Drosophila melanogaster: one gene and its partner. The protein of the gene in region 2 interacts with the protein of the main gene of each other region in a pairwise test. Each region holds a gene or a part of one and is shown on either strand. Other genes may lie near its edges. The genes, in order: Zcchc7 and CG14443.

Region 1 (7,946 bases), on a different chromosome or scaffold from region 2:
GTGTTTGCTGATCCAGGGCTTGACGTTGCTTCTTCTTTGACATTTTAGGAGGTGGTGGTGGAGCCATGTCCTGCCGAACTGGTGGGAGAGGCGTTGGCGATGGTGGCCCCTTACTAGGCGATTGCGGCTGACTCTGCGTTTTCTTTTGTTGCAGTCCCAACAGCACAGGATCTATGTGCAACGAGGGCAAGCGATTCTTTTGATCCAAACGTCCATAGCTGTTTAGCAGAGAGTCGTAATTCGGATGCGGATATGACGAGAAGATCATTCGCCAATGCTCCTCGATCTCATTGCGCAACTGTGGCGTGGCGTGTTCATCTGGCGAGAAGTCATCGATCAGGCGACGCAATAAGACTAGCAACTGATCGAGATGTGTTTTGCCATTCAGGAGTCCCGCCTGGCCGACGAGGATCATGTTAAGCTGGCGGCGCTTTTTTTCTGCCATCTTAAAACCGTTTTTGGTGTTCATCCCCTCTAGCTCCTTGATGCGCACGTAGTGGCTCTTGGCGTTTCCTAGATTGGTGTTTAGACTGTTGATTCCATCCCGCAGAAAGCGGATCAGCACATCAATACGTTTGGGGGGTTTCTGGCTCTGGAACTCGATGCTCTTGCGCTTGACTTCCTGACTGCGTCGAAGCAGTTTCACTTGCAACTCTTCCTGGTGCTTTTTAAGGCCATATATCACCAGTACATAACCGTAGTCCTTAAAGTCCATCCGCACGCTTACATGACACTGTTTGGCGGCTGCCGCCAGAAAAGTTCGGCCCTCCGCACTGAACAGGTACTCGGATTCTTCGCGCGCCATAATGATTTTGCCCTCGCTTGGAACATCTGGCAGTTCTTCACTGGAGTCCGGATCGGGCGTTTCGTCAGTGCGTAAACTGGTGCTACTGGAGTTAACACACATGGAAATTCCCTGGACGTTAGAGGATAGTTCAAAATCGTCTTTACTTAGGGGTATGACATCGGGTAGAGTCCCCATGGTGCGGACGAGCGGCAGTTGGGTGTTGGGTTGACCATCACTGGTTGTCGAGCTGGGCAGTTCAAAGTGCTCGGAAAAACTGTAATTCGAATCTGAGTCCAACTCATGGGGCGCCAATGGTGTTCTACTTAGGCCAGGTTCCGTTGGTGGATTGTCGAAATTGGTGGTAATCTCTTCACGCTGCACAGAGGACGATGGTTCTTCTTGATCATCATCCTTCATGGGTAGCTCTTCATCGGGTTGGCTTTGATTAGGTTGTCCCTCCACAAGCTTCTCATCTTGAGTTTGCTTCACTTCCGGTGGGACCTCTGGGAGCGGTAGTATATCTTTAGATTTTTCGTCTTCACGATTCAGCTTTCCAATTGGCTCCTCTGCGGTTCGGTTCTCAGCGATTGACTCGACAACTGGCATTTGCTTTGTGAGCGGTTTCTTAGCCGTTCCAGTGGATACCTCCCCTCGAGCTGCCTTCACCTGAGCATTGGGCACATATTCGTGGGTATAAATCTTTTCTGGAATCTGCGATACTGCAGTAGTTGACTTCCTTTTGACTGACTGGACTTTTGCCAAGTTCGCATTGACAAGGAACCTTGAATAATAGCAATTTTTCGGCATACTCGGATTGTTCCACTTAAAGTGGAAGGGAGTTTCAATAGCAAAAAAGCTTTTTAAATCGCCAAGATTACCTATCGGGCCACCGCGATTCTTGTAGATTTTTTGGTGAGACACAATCTGGCTTGTATAGTTCGTGCTACGAAAGTCACCAATCCGCTGTCGGCAGTTCTCGAAAGAATGGCGACCGGCACAGTAGCTGCACTGTACGCTCCTATACTGTACCCGGCTATCCAGCTCAGTATTTGACCGAGTCTGTTGGCAAAGAAAAATGAGGATTGCATTGATTTCTGCACTGAATGGTTAATAGGTATTACCGTTGAGTGGTAGCGACGCCACTTATCCGGACAGTGATCCACGCCGTGTCCTCTCATTTTGCACAGCTGGCAGACCAGGCGGCTGTGAAAGGAGCACTTGTTGCACTGCTGCACGTAAATTTCCTGCTTTGATCCGCACTAGAAAATTGAAAGGACTTGTTTAGTATGTTCTAGTTGAAGTAGTTCAATTACCTACCCCAAAACAAATGGCATTGGGACAGCGGGGCTCGGCATGACCCATGGTTCCGCAAATGAAACAAACAAGTGGCTTGCGGGGACGCGGGCACTTTGATCGAACGTGTCCCATCTCAAAGCAGTTGGAGCACTTAGCATGGGAGCGGGGTCGTGCTACCGGACATCTATCCGCGGTGTTGATCCTCCACTCGTGGCGATGCCCTGCAATTACAGTAGGTTAATAGCTGCATTCGCTTATTACTAACTACTAAAGGTAACATCACCTGTCATCATTCTTTGGACCTTGTGAACAGAGAAGTTTTCCCCATTCCAACTGTCATTGTAGAAGCTGCGCATCTCTTCGTTCCAGCCAATGAGGTCTCCGCTTTTGGGCAGACTTTCGTCTCTTAGCTCTTGCAAATTGTGCTCCACGTGTACGTGCTGCTCTTCGTTTGTCACGTCTCTGTCGTTCTTATCTGGATTCGTCTCCTCAAGATCGTTAGAAGCATCAATATCCTCGTCGGAACGCACAGTGGTGTCTGCACTTTTGTCTCGCGAGTCTTCTTCATCGGATATATATCCACTCGCATTCACTTGTTCCTCGTCCTCTTCCATTTTTTTGGCTTTGGCATCAAGACGCTCGAAGACTGCAGCTAATCGATCTGTCATAGCATCGCGAAACTCCGCCTCTGCATGGGAATCTTCATCGGATCCGATAGAAATGGCATCGTCATCGCCATCGCCTTTTTGTACCTGCACCTTTCCTTGTCCTTGCTGTTGATTAAGAAGTCGCTCGGCTATATCTCTGGCACTTGGTAACTCATCCTCAGACGCAGATTCTGAGCTAGCATGATGGACTGCAGCAACTTTCGGTTTTTGGATACGTGTAGCCGCCTTCTTCGAATTGTCATCAGAGCTATGTCTGGTACTGATTCTACGGATTTTGCGCTTACAACGCTCCACTGCCATACCACGTGCTATGCCAGGAACTCCAGTAGCATGAACGCCATCATCGCTGTCTGAATCATCCAACCCATCGTCGTTGTTTGGATCAGATTGGCTGTGATTGTTTGTTGAACAGGAGCGTTTGCGCAGACGCTTCGTCTTTTGGACACTAGGCTCCACTACCTCCTCGACGGAAGAGCTGCCCGATGATGAGTCTACGTTGCGTATGATCGTTGGCGTGGTCTTGCTCTTGGCTTTTGAGTAAATGCCACTTTCCGTGAGGTCAGACTCACTTTCGTAGACGTCTAAAGCTCTGAATTGCTGATCGTCGACGCGATAGTTTTTCTTAATTTCCTCCAGTCGTGAAGGAGGAACAAATTCATATTCCGACGAGGTATCAGCCGCATGATCATGTTCTTGTTCCTCAGATGCATTTTCCACAACTTCCTTATCTTTTGGTTCCTCGCCAATAGCTTCTCTTATAGCCGTCTCGGTTAGTACCAGCAGATCTTCATCATTGGCGTTCTCACATTCTGTCAACAAGCGAGTGGTATCCTTCTGCACTATGAAGTCATCACTGGACATGACGGAACAGCTCGGTGAATGCATGGGTGGTGTGGTACTGCTAGCAACAACACTCGTCCCCTCTGGTTCAGTAATACAAGACAATCCCATTTTCACGTCTGTGGCGTCCATTGCATTCTCTTCGTGAAACAATTGAGATGAGGTGCAGGTCTGCTCGCCGTCACTCGTGTCCAATTCGATGATAGGAGCTGGCGGAAGTGGTACATGAACCACATCATCGTCATCGGAAGATTCGCTTGTTTCTGCCAGGTTGACAAACTCCACCGGCGGAGACTGCTGCTTTCGCTGTTTTTTATTTAACTGAGCCTGCTTGGATTTCTGTTTCTTATCTGCCAGACGCTGAATCTGCTCCAACTTGCGGTTGGCTTTGCCAAACGGTCCAGGTCCTGATTGCTGCTGCTGTTTGTTATGTTGCAGCGACTGCTGTTGCTTTTTCTGCTGCTGTTTGTTTTGCTGCTGCTGTTGCTTGTTTTGTTGTGGCTTATTCTGCTTCTTGGGCGGGCAGTTCGGTGGGATGGCGACTAGAAGTCTCTGGTCAAAACGCTCCGCCTCGTAGGCTTCGTGATTCACTTTGGTGGATGCGTTTGGCTGCGGTTTTGGTTTTTGTACTACTGGCGCCGACTTCTTTTGCTGATTTTGGTGCTGCTTGGATTGTTGATTTTGTTGCTTAAGACTCTGCTGCTGTTTCTGTTGTGAATTTTTTTGCTCCTGAGGCTTTGCCTGTTGATTTTGCAATTGTTTTGCATGAATATTTTGCTGTTGCTTGGCCTGTGGGATTTGCTGATGTTTCGGGGGCTGGCTAGCAGTTTTCGGTTGATTGGACGTTCCCTTTTCGGGCGACAGCAATAGACTCTTGTCTTGCGGCATATCGACATCCATCGATTGTGATGAGGAACTTTCTTCAACAGCTAAGAGACAAGAACCATAAATTAAAATGTGATTCTTATATTTATTTGTATAGGCGATATGAATAAATGTGAATAGCAAATTAGCAGAAATTCTTAAGAATAAACCAAATCTTTTGATACAACCCAACATTTTCATTGACAAATTAAAAATGCAGTTTCTGAACTATAGCACCAATTTTAATACCAAAGTGGGTTAAGCATTTGACTAAGACGGGAATTGGACATGTCTTCCCCCTCGACGTCGTTCAGCCTGTAGCCTTGAAGTGTCAGATCCGACAACTGCGATTCGCTTATGTGGAAGAGGACAAACGCCTCTGCCAGCACATCGGATCGATTGGGCCACAGTAGGACTCGCACCGCTGTGCGAAACTCATCGATTGCCTCCTTGATCAGCTGCTGCGCCTCGAACAGATTGGCGAGTGGCGTCATCATTCTTTCGCCCAACTCAGACTGCTTAGCCTGCACTTTGAGAGCCTGCTCTAGTTGCCTGACCAGCCGCATGAAGACGAATCTGCGGTAACGATCTTCAAAATACTGTCGCGGCATATCAAACCGACTCATTTTCCGCTGAACCAAGGCAGAGAAGATAAAGCCATCCACACACGAGCCCAGCACACTAACGCTGGCCATCAATACGACTGCAGATAGCATGTACTCCACTAGTCGTTGGTCCAGTTCCTCGCACCAAAAAAACAGATCTCGGCCATGCCGCGCCAGTTGGTAATGGAGCAGGCAAACAATGCAGACAAGGTCGAGAGTGGCCAGGGCCAAGGTGCAATGGTTGAAATGGCCCATCCGCCTTTCGAGCACCTGCAGACCGCACCTGCCCAGGCCCAGAAAGCGACTGAGGAAGCAGGTCATCATTGGAAGGTTATGGAGAATTTTGAAAGCACGCCAACGAAATAGTTTTGAAAAGGATGAAAGCAGCCTAATGCCCAAAAGCTGGGCTGATCCCCACTGATGGAAGTAGGAAATGTTCTTGACTACTATGAAATGGGGCGGAACTAAAAGACTACAAATGAACTAGCTAAGAATACCTAAGATTATGAATCACGTTTAATTTTTTTTGTTTTGAGTTTTAAACAGTTATAGCTACAAATCGACCGATTAAATATGATTATATTTACTATGATTTAAATTACCTAATAACTTGTGAGATATTGGATCTTATTGGATCCTACCTTTTTTGGGTACATTTTTGGGTATATTTTTATGCTAGCTTATGGTTTTTATTACTTCATATATACCATTTGCCAATGGTTGCCACTCACCTGGCATTGTTTTGTTTGTGGTGGCCTGCTGTTCCTCCGCCTGCACCACCTGCCCCTCCCCCACAGCTGCCGCACCATCGATCCAGTAGCGTGGTTTCTGCATGCTGTTGTTGATCACTCGTGTTCCGCTGACGAAACGCTGTCCGGGAATGGGATGCTTCTGCTGAGGAGGCGGTGGCATGCTCCTGGCATCCTGGTCGCTGGTTGACTCCTTCGCAGGCTGATCCATGGCAGTGTGCTCTTCGAATCCATCGCTGTAGTGGATCGAGGCATATAGAATTGATTCTAGCTCGTTCAGCCGTTCGCTGTCCATCTCCTCAAGCTGCGGATTGGAATGCATTAGATCGGTAGGAATAACGGGTATTTGGGCCAACACTCACATCACTCATATTGCGCGTCTTTGTTTTCCTTTGCCTTTGATTTATTTTTCCTGCGCATTGATAAAAAGTAATATAATGAAAGAGAGCACGTTGATGGCAGTGGTGGGCAAGCTGGAGAGAGCATGTCAATCGAGGCAGTGATGACACTCTGGCTATCGGAAAATGTTGCTATCGAATAGTAAACTAAAAAATCTGACAACAGTACTTCTACTAGCTGGCAAAAAATAAATAATTTACATCAACGAACGGTTCGAATTTGGTTTAAGTTTTAAAATTAACACTTAATTATTCACTATGGCATTATAAATAAAAATGAATAATTTTCCACTCCGAGTTTTTTATCTCTCAAAATGTTAAATTAAAATTTAAAATTTACAAAAAACCAAAAAAAAAACCAAAAAAACCAAAAAAAACCAAAAAAAAATTTACAAAAAAAAAAAATTTATGATACTTCTCGTTTCGATACGTGTAAACTGGCAGTCAATTGTGGGTGCCTCCGATAACGATAACAAGAGGAGCAACCCTAGCTGCCGGGCCACGTACAATTCGCGTCGAAAAATAACAAGAAGTAATTAAAGCTAAAATTCAATGTAAGAGTGCCGCAAGTGTGTTAAACTAATAGCTTAACCGGATCATCTTATTTCTAGTATGGACGTAATGCAGCGCTACGTATCGCCCGTGAACCCGGCCGTTTTTCCCCACCTCGCCACCGTGCTTTTGGTCATCGGAACCTTCTTCACCGCCTGGTTCTTCATCTTTGTGGTGTCTCGAAAGAGCTCTAAGGAAAGCACCTTGATAAAGGAACTGCTGATTAGCCTGTGCGCCTCCATTTTCCTGGGATTCGGCATTGTTTTCCTGCTTCTAACCGTCGGTATTTACGTATGAGATAAGACACCATTCCGCATAGAAATAAACTGAAGATCTGATCGTGGGCGTTAACATACATGAGGCCTTTGTTTTATTTAGGATTATTGTTATTATAATTTCAATTTTTAAGATTCAATTTGCGCTTAAAACTTATCGAATATTTTTGATGGTAACATATAAATCGTCTGCACGTGCTCGCACTACCCCGTCGAATAAGAAATCACGGCAACTGTTGAAATCATGGCTCTTCTAGCCCGCTAGACCGGCCTTTTGTCTGCACTTCTGCATGGTGGCCCGTAGGATGAATTGTTTGCGGGATAGCTGTCGCACGTGCTTAAGAAAGGTCTCCAGATCGATGACACCTCCGCGGAGACCCTCGCCCAAGTAATATATGGCATCCTCGGTGGCCGCTTCGTCGGCATAGGCATTGAGTAACCTGCGGGTGGATAAACCATTAATTATCTAGCATGAATCTTGGAATGCGCACGCAGACATTCAACTTACTGTCGGTAAAGTGGCGCTGTGGTGGTCACCGCCTCGTCGGGGTTAATGGCCTCGGCGCTCTCAAGATCTTCAAGAGCTTTTTCCAGCTCCTGCTCCTTGTCCTTTAATATACTTATGTTCTTTTGCATATCAATATGTTCGCGCTCGAGGCGCTCTATAATGGCATCGATCTTGGCACTGCCCTCGAGCAACTCCTGCTTGGTGCGATTGAGAGTTTCGATCTCGGCCTGATACTGATTAACTTTCTCCTGAACTCGGCGGCGCAGCTTGTCGTCGATAGCGCTAATGATTGATGCTTTGATGTGCTCCTCGGTAATAGTTCCCGTGGAACTGGGATTTGAGGGATTCTGAAAAGAATAAGCTTTAAACATTAAGAAGTCGATTTTTGGATAATAATCTAAAAC
Region 2 (4,666 bases):
AAACGGAAAACAGCCCAGGCGATCGATTGGCCAGAAATTTGATCTCGCTTGGGACCGAAATCAAATGGCCAACACAATAAATTCACCTCTAATGAATTTTGATTCATTTCCATTTGCTTTTGGCGCAAACAACTAAATAACTCTATGGCAATCAATGGGCCAAAAAGTAGGGGGGTTTGCTGGCTGACTGGCTGTATAGAAAATATTGACCCATATATGTCAGAATTTGAACGGTAGGCGAACCAGCGAATTGGTGACAGAAGCCCAAATGATTCGATATGGATCGAGATCTAGGCGGATTTTCACAATTTATAACGATAGAAAACGTATTAAGTTTGAATATCCTATGACGGTTCTTAAAACTTTAAGGTACGCATAAATACATAAATGGCACATGTAAATATCATAAGGGATTTAGTATGAACTGAAACCGTATTTGAATATTGATGCGCCTGCCATGCATTTTACTTAGCTGCACTTCACTTGCATAACATCACGTCTTCTGAGCTCTGGATGCACAACTTTCTTTGCGGACGTGCCATCCATGCCTCCCATTCGTCATTACCCCATTTTTTAGTCCCCCCCCCCCTCCCAAAAAAAAAAAAACCATTTCAACTGGCCTAGTTAAATCAATAAACATTTAAAGGGTTAAATCCATTATACATTAACAATTTAAGTTAGTTAAGCCATCAAAATGTTTGCCAATAACATATATATCCGCTATATCGACCCTAATGCATGCGATTGTAGCGTTGCGGACGATGGCGCCTTCGTTGACGGGGACCAAACATCTTTTCTTCAGCGAGCTGAAGAAGATGCGGTCCAATTTCTTGTTTACAGATCTTAAGAAAATCGACCACTTCCGTCACGAGCTTGTAGTTTGCCATGGTAAAGAAGCTGATGACCTCGCAGTTACGGTTATACGACAGGCATCCCGTTCTGCTCATGCGTTGAACATACTTATCAATGTTGTCCGGGAAATCATAATTGATCACATAACGAATGCCTGGCACATCCAAGCAGTTCGATGTCATTTGCGTGGCCACAATGATATTGTAGGCGCCAGTGCCAAAATCATGGATTATTCCTTGATTTTCTTGGGCAGTGCGTCCACCATGGATGCCCTCGCAGGGTACACAATTCCGGATCAAATCCACCAGTTCTTCCACGACCTTTTGGCGCTTCACATAGATCACCACCTTACCGGGAATATCGCTTGTATCGTAAATAGCAGTCAGCTCCTTCATAAGGCGTTCTACTTTCGATAGCCCATTGACTACCTCCACCCGCTGGCGGATGTTTTGTAATCGCACGCCTATATTGTTTATTTCACCCACGCGAATTGCGGTGTATTGGCCCAAAAACTTGTTGGCCATCCGTTTCAGATTAGATGACCACGACGTGCTGCTGACGATCAATTGGGCATGCGGACGTAGACGGCATAGTAGTCGGCAAATGTTACCCTCTAAGCCCACATCAATCATGCGATCAATATTGTCCAGAACCAAATATGTGCAGCGTTCCAGTTCTACAACATGTTTTTTGTTATCAATCATTTGAAGCAGGCGACCAGCAGAGGCCACCAGCAGATCGCATTCGGCATGACCTTGCCATTGACTGTTGCCCAAGAGGCAATGCGTCCTAAGCTCGAGAGGATTTGTATAGTACAATACCTCTCTTTGGACCATGACAGCAGCCTCACGGCAGTCCACCAATATCAAGACAATCGGTCCTTTCTTGTGCTGCATTAATCCGCGCTGATTGTGCATCTTCATTATGCCCGGCAATAGATAGCCCAATGTTTTACCCGTACCCTTTCCAGAAATCATCACAATATTTTTGCCCTCCTTGGCAATCGACCATGTTTGTGCCTGAATGGGCGTGGGCCCATCATAGCCTTGATCCTCCAGTTGCTGTAATATGGTTGCATTGAATCCGCTGCGCTCGAAACTCAGCACAGGCTCCGGAAGGTTTCGCATATTCCAGCTGGTCAAGGTGATATTGTGGCGTTTCCGATAATTAGCGGCATTATTATACACCTCATCCATCGGCTGCTTCCAGGTATTGTAATTACTAGGGCGGCTTGGGTTTTTGGATTGGTCCTGATAACACAAAGTATTCCGATGGGGACTGCGGCTTCTGGTGAAGGAGCGGCTAACCAAAATCTTTTGAATGGAGCTGCAACTCATGCTCCTCGATTGACTCTTCTTCCAGGGAGTGCGCATTCCGACCCTCCACGAATTGCGGCCGCGATTGGACGGACTTTTGGGTTCTGGACTCCCGTACGTCAGATCATTTTGGGTCTTCGAAGGACAAAAGCGCTTTTGCGGTAGACTGCTGCTCCTGCTTCTTGATTCTTTATTTTCACGAGAGGTTTTCACGGCCTTGAAAGAATTTGGCGATTGCCAAGTTTCATGAATGCGAAAAACAGCGCTTCGCATGCGTGGCCTCTCTCCCGTATCGCTACCGTGAGAACTTGATCCCGTAGTGGAATCCGAATCGGATGACGAGCCGGAATTGGAATCGGATGAACTCGATTCGGATCCGGAAGAATGAGCAGACTCAGAACTGGACCGCAAATGGGATTTTCCTCTAAACTTGCCATTACCCATGCTCCTGCTTTTCGACCGGGATTCGCGCGTAGACTTGGAAAATCCGCCAGCAGAATGCGGACCACTGAAACTCTCGCTCCTGATTTTGAAATTTGGTTTCTGTCCCTCAATTCCGTGTTGTATTGTGAAAAGCCTTTTCGTAACGAATTTGGAGGACAAGACAGAGCTTGAGGATTTTAAAGATCTGGACTGACCGCTTATGTCCGAAGCGCTGGAGCCCCAAATCGAAGACTTCGTACCCTTAAGGAACGGCTTTTTCTGAACCTTTTCTGCATCGGTTTCGTTGTCTTTCCAGTTTCCAATCACCAGTTTCTTAGCTTTCTCACACATTTTCTGCAGCACTTATTTGCGTTTGTTCACTTCCAATTTTTGCCAAGGCAATAAAAAAATCTCCTTACGAACACAGCGAAATGCCACGTGTTATGAAAAAAGTTGACAACTCTAAGCTTTGGTGTTGGTTAATTTTCAGTGTGTCCTCCTCTTAGTGTTGGTAAATTTAAATACATTTAAATTTAATGAAATAAAAAATTCCCATATGTGTTTGTTATTGTTCTTAATAAAATGTAATGTTATAAAATGTAATTTCTTATTAAGGGGCATGAACTGAGGTTTGAGTCCGTATTAATCTGGAAGATTAATAATTTAAGTGGACTTTTTATGGTCTTCAATATGCTTAATTTCCCGAGTGCAGACTGTTCCAGTTCCGGACTGAGATACGGATACGGGTTTGTACTCCGCTGGCGGAAGTTCAGAGCGCTCTTACTCAATCGAAAGACCCACATTGGGTGGGTTATCTGCCGTATAATTGGCGAGTGTGAGTGTCTGAATGTTTGGTCAATTAAAAGCATTCGCTGGCTTTTTTATCAAATTCAATTAGCCGACGACGAAAGCAAAACAAAATCCAAAAAAAAAAAAACCAAAAACGCCGCAACAAAGTTGCTCAATGCGGAATTCAGAGGAGGGTTTTACCATCTCTCTAAATAAAAATCATAAAACTAAAAAACAAAAAATGAATAAATAATATAAAGTACACATGCATGCATATGCGAGGAGTTCTAACTATAGAAAATCCGTATAATTAACTAGATAAATTGGCAAGCAATTGGCTGTACAGCTCGTTAAGGCTAATGATCGTCGGACAGCTAACGATCTCCTTTGGCTAATTGGCCAACAGTACGGAACACCCCTCCGCGACCCGGTTTTCAGACCACCCTTCATTTAATGTGGCCATCAAGTCGTAATTACGCTCGTTGTTGAAACGATGAAGACATCAAATTGCATTGCATCGCCTTTAGAATTGCTGGCCATTCAAAGAGATTTGTTTTGGTTTAAGATCCCAATCAGTCCGGAGTTTCAATTAAAGTTCCATTAACGCTTCGCGACACACACAATTATCAAAAAATTATATTTATGCTTATGACATTTCCGGCAGCTCCCCAGTTACCCAGCCCCTCCACACTTTCCACCAGTGCAAAATTTATGCTCCCCTGTCTGAGTCATTTCATTTATTTCGAGACAGCGCAGACAGAAGATCAAAGCGACTTCATGATTATGCTGCACGCATATCCATCACCATATCGAGCTCGAGCACTCGCCTCGGGGTGGAGTTGTCTATGGATCCATGGATGCACTCGAGGATTGGGGGGGGGGGGGCATGTGTGTGCAGGTGCTGGTGCAGGTGAGGCTGTGGCTGTGCCTGTCGCTGCTGCTGCTGGGATCGCTGTGTGTGGCTATAGTGGTTGGGGTAGTGGCTAATCGGCACTAAGCGTACAAAAACACGTGACCAGTTACCAAGTTGGTGGATTACTTATAAAAATAGTTAGTCTCAAGCTAAAATCGATGAAAAATGCTCCACAAAATGTGCCATATAAAGTTTTAAAGTTTTTTTTTTTTTAAATATCCTTATTTACTGCCATTTAAGGTCACTCTATACAGTATTACTAAACCATAACGACATTGCCCAACACTAACTTACTTTATTTAATTTGTGCGCCGACAACACATTTCTATGCAACTAATGTTGCACTGGGCATAAATTCTCGGCTATGTTCCCC

Evidence for each region.
Region 1: the proteins of CG14443 (region 2) and Zcchc7 interact in a two-hybrid assay, tested with the Drosophila melanogaster proteins (one large-scale study listed by BioGRID).

What each region holds. Positions count from the first base shown.
Region 1 is NT_037436.4:16,843,735-16,851,680, reverse strand, and holds the start of Zcchc7 (zinc finger CCHC-type containing 7), read right to left. Parts: upstream 6,296-7,946; 5' UTR 6,181-6,295; coding exon 6,172-6,180; intron 6,114-6,171; coding exon 5,792-6,113; intron 5,455-5,791; exon of another isoform or gene 5,385-5,454; coding exon of another isoform or gene 4,698-5,384; exon of another isoform or gene 4,681-4,697; intron 4,521-4,680; coding exon 2,367-4,520; intron 2,305-2,366; coding exon 2,105-2,304; intron 2,047-2,104; coding exon 1,909-2,046; intron 1,847-1,908; coding exon 1-1,846. Other genes in the region: CG32161 (uncharacterized protein), read right to left, coding at 4,698-5,384; kud (kuduk), read left to right, coding at 6,820-7,056; TSG101 (tumor susceptibility gene 101), read right to left, coding at 7,288-7,474, 7,543-7,889.
Region 2 is NC_004354.4:6,632,235-6,636,900, reverse strand, and holds CG14443 (uncharacterized protein), read right to left. Parts: upstream 2,943-4,666; coding exon 732-2,942; downstream 1-731. UniProt on the Drosophila melanogaster protein: Probable ATP-binding RNA helicase.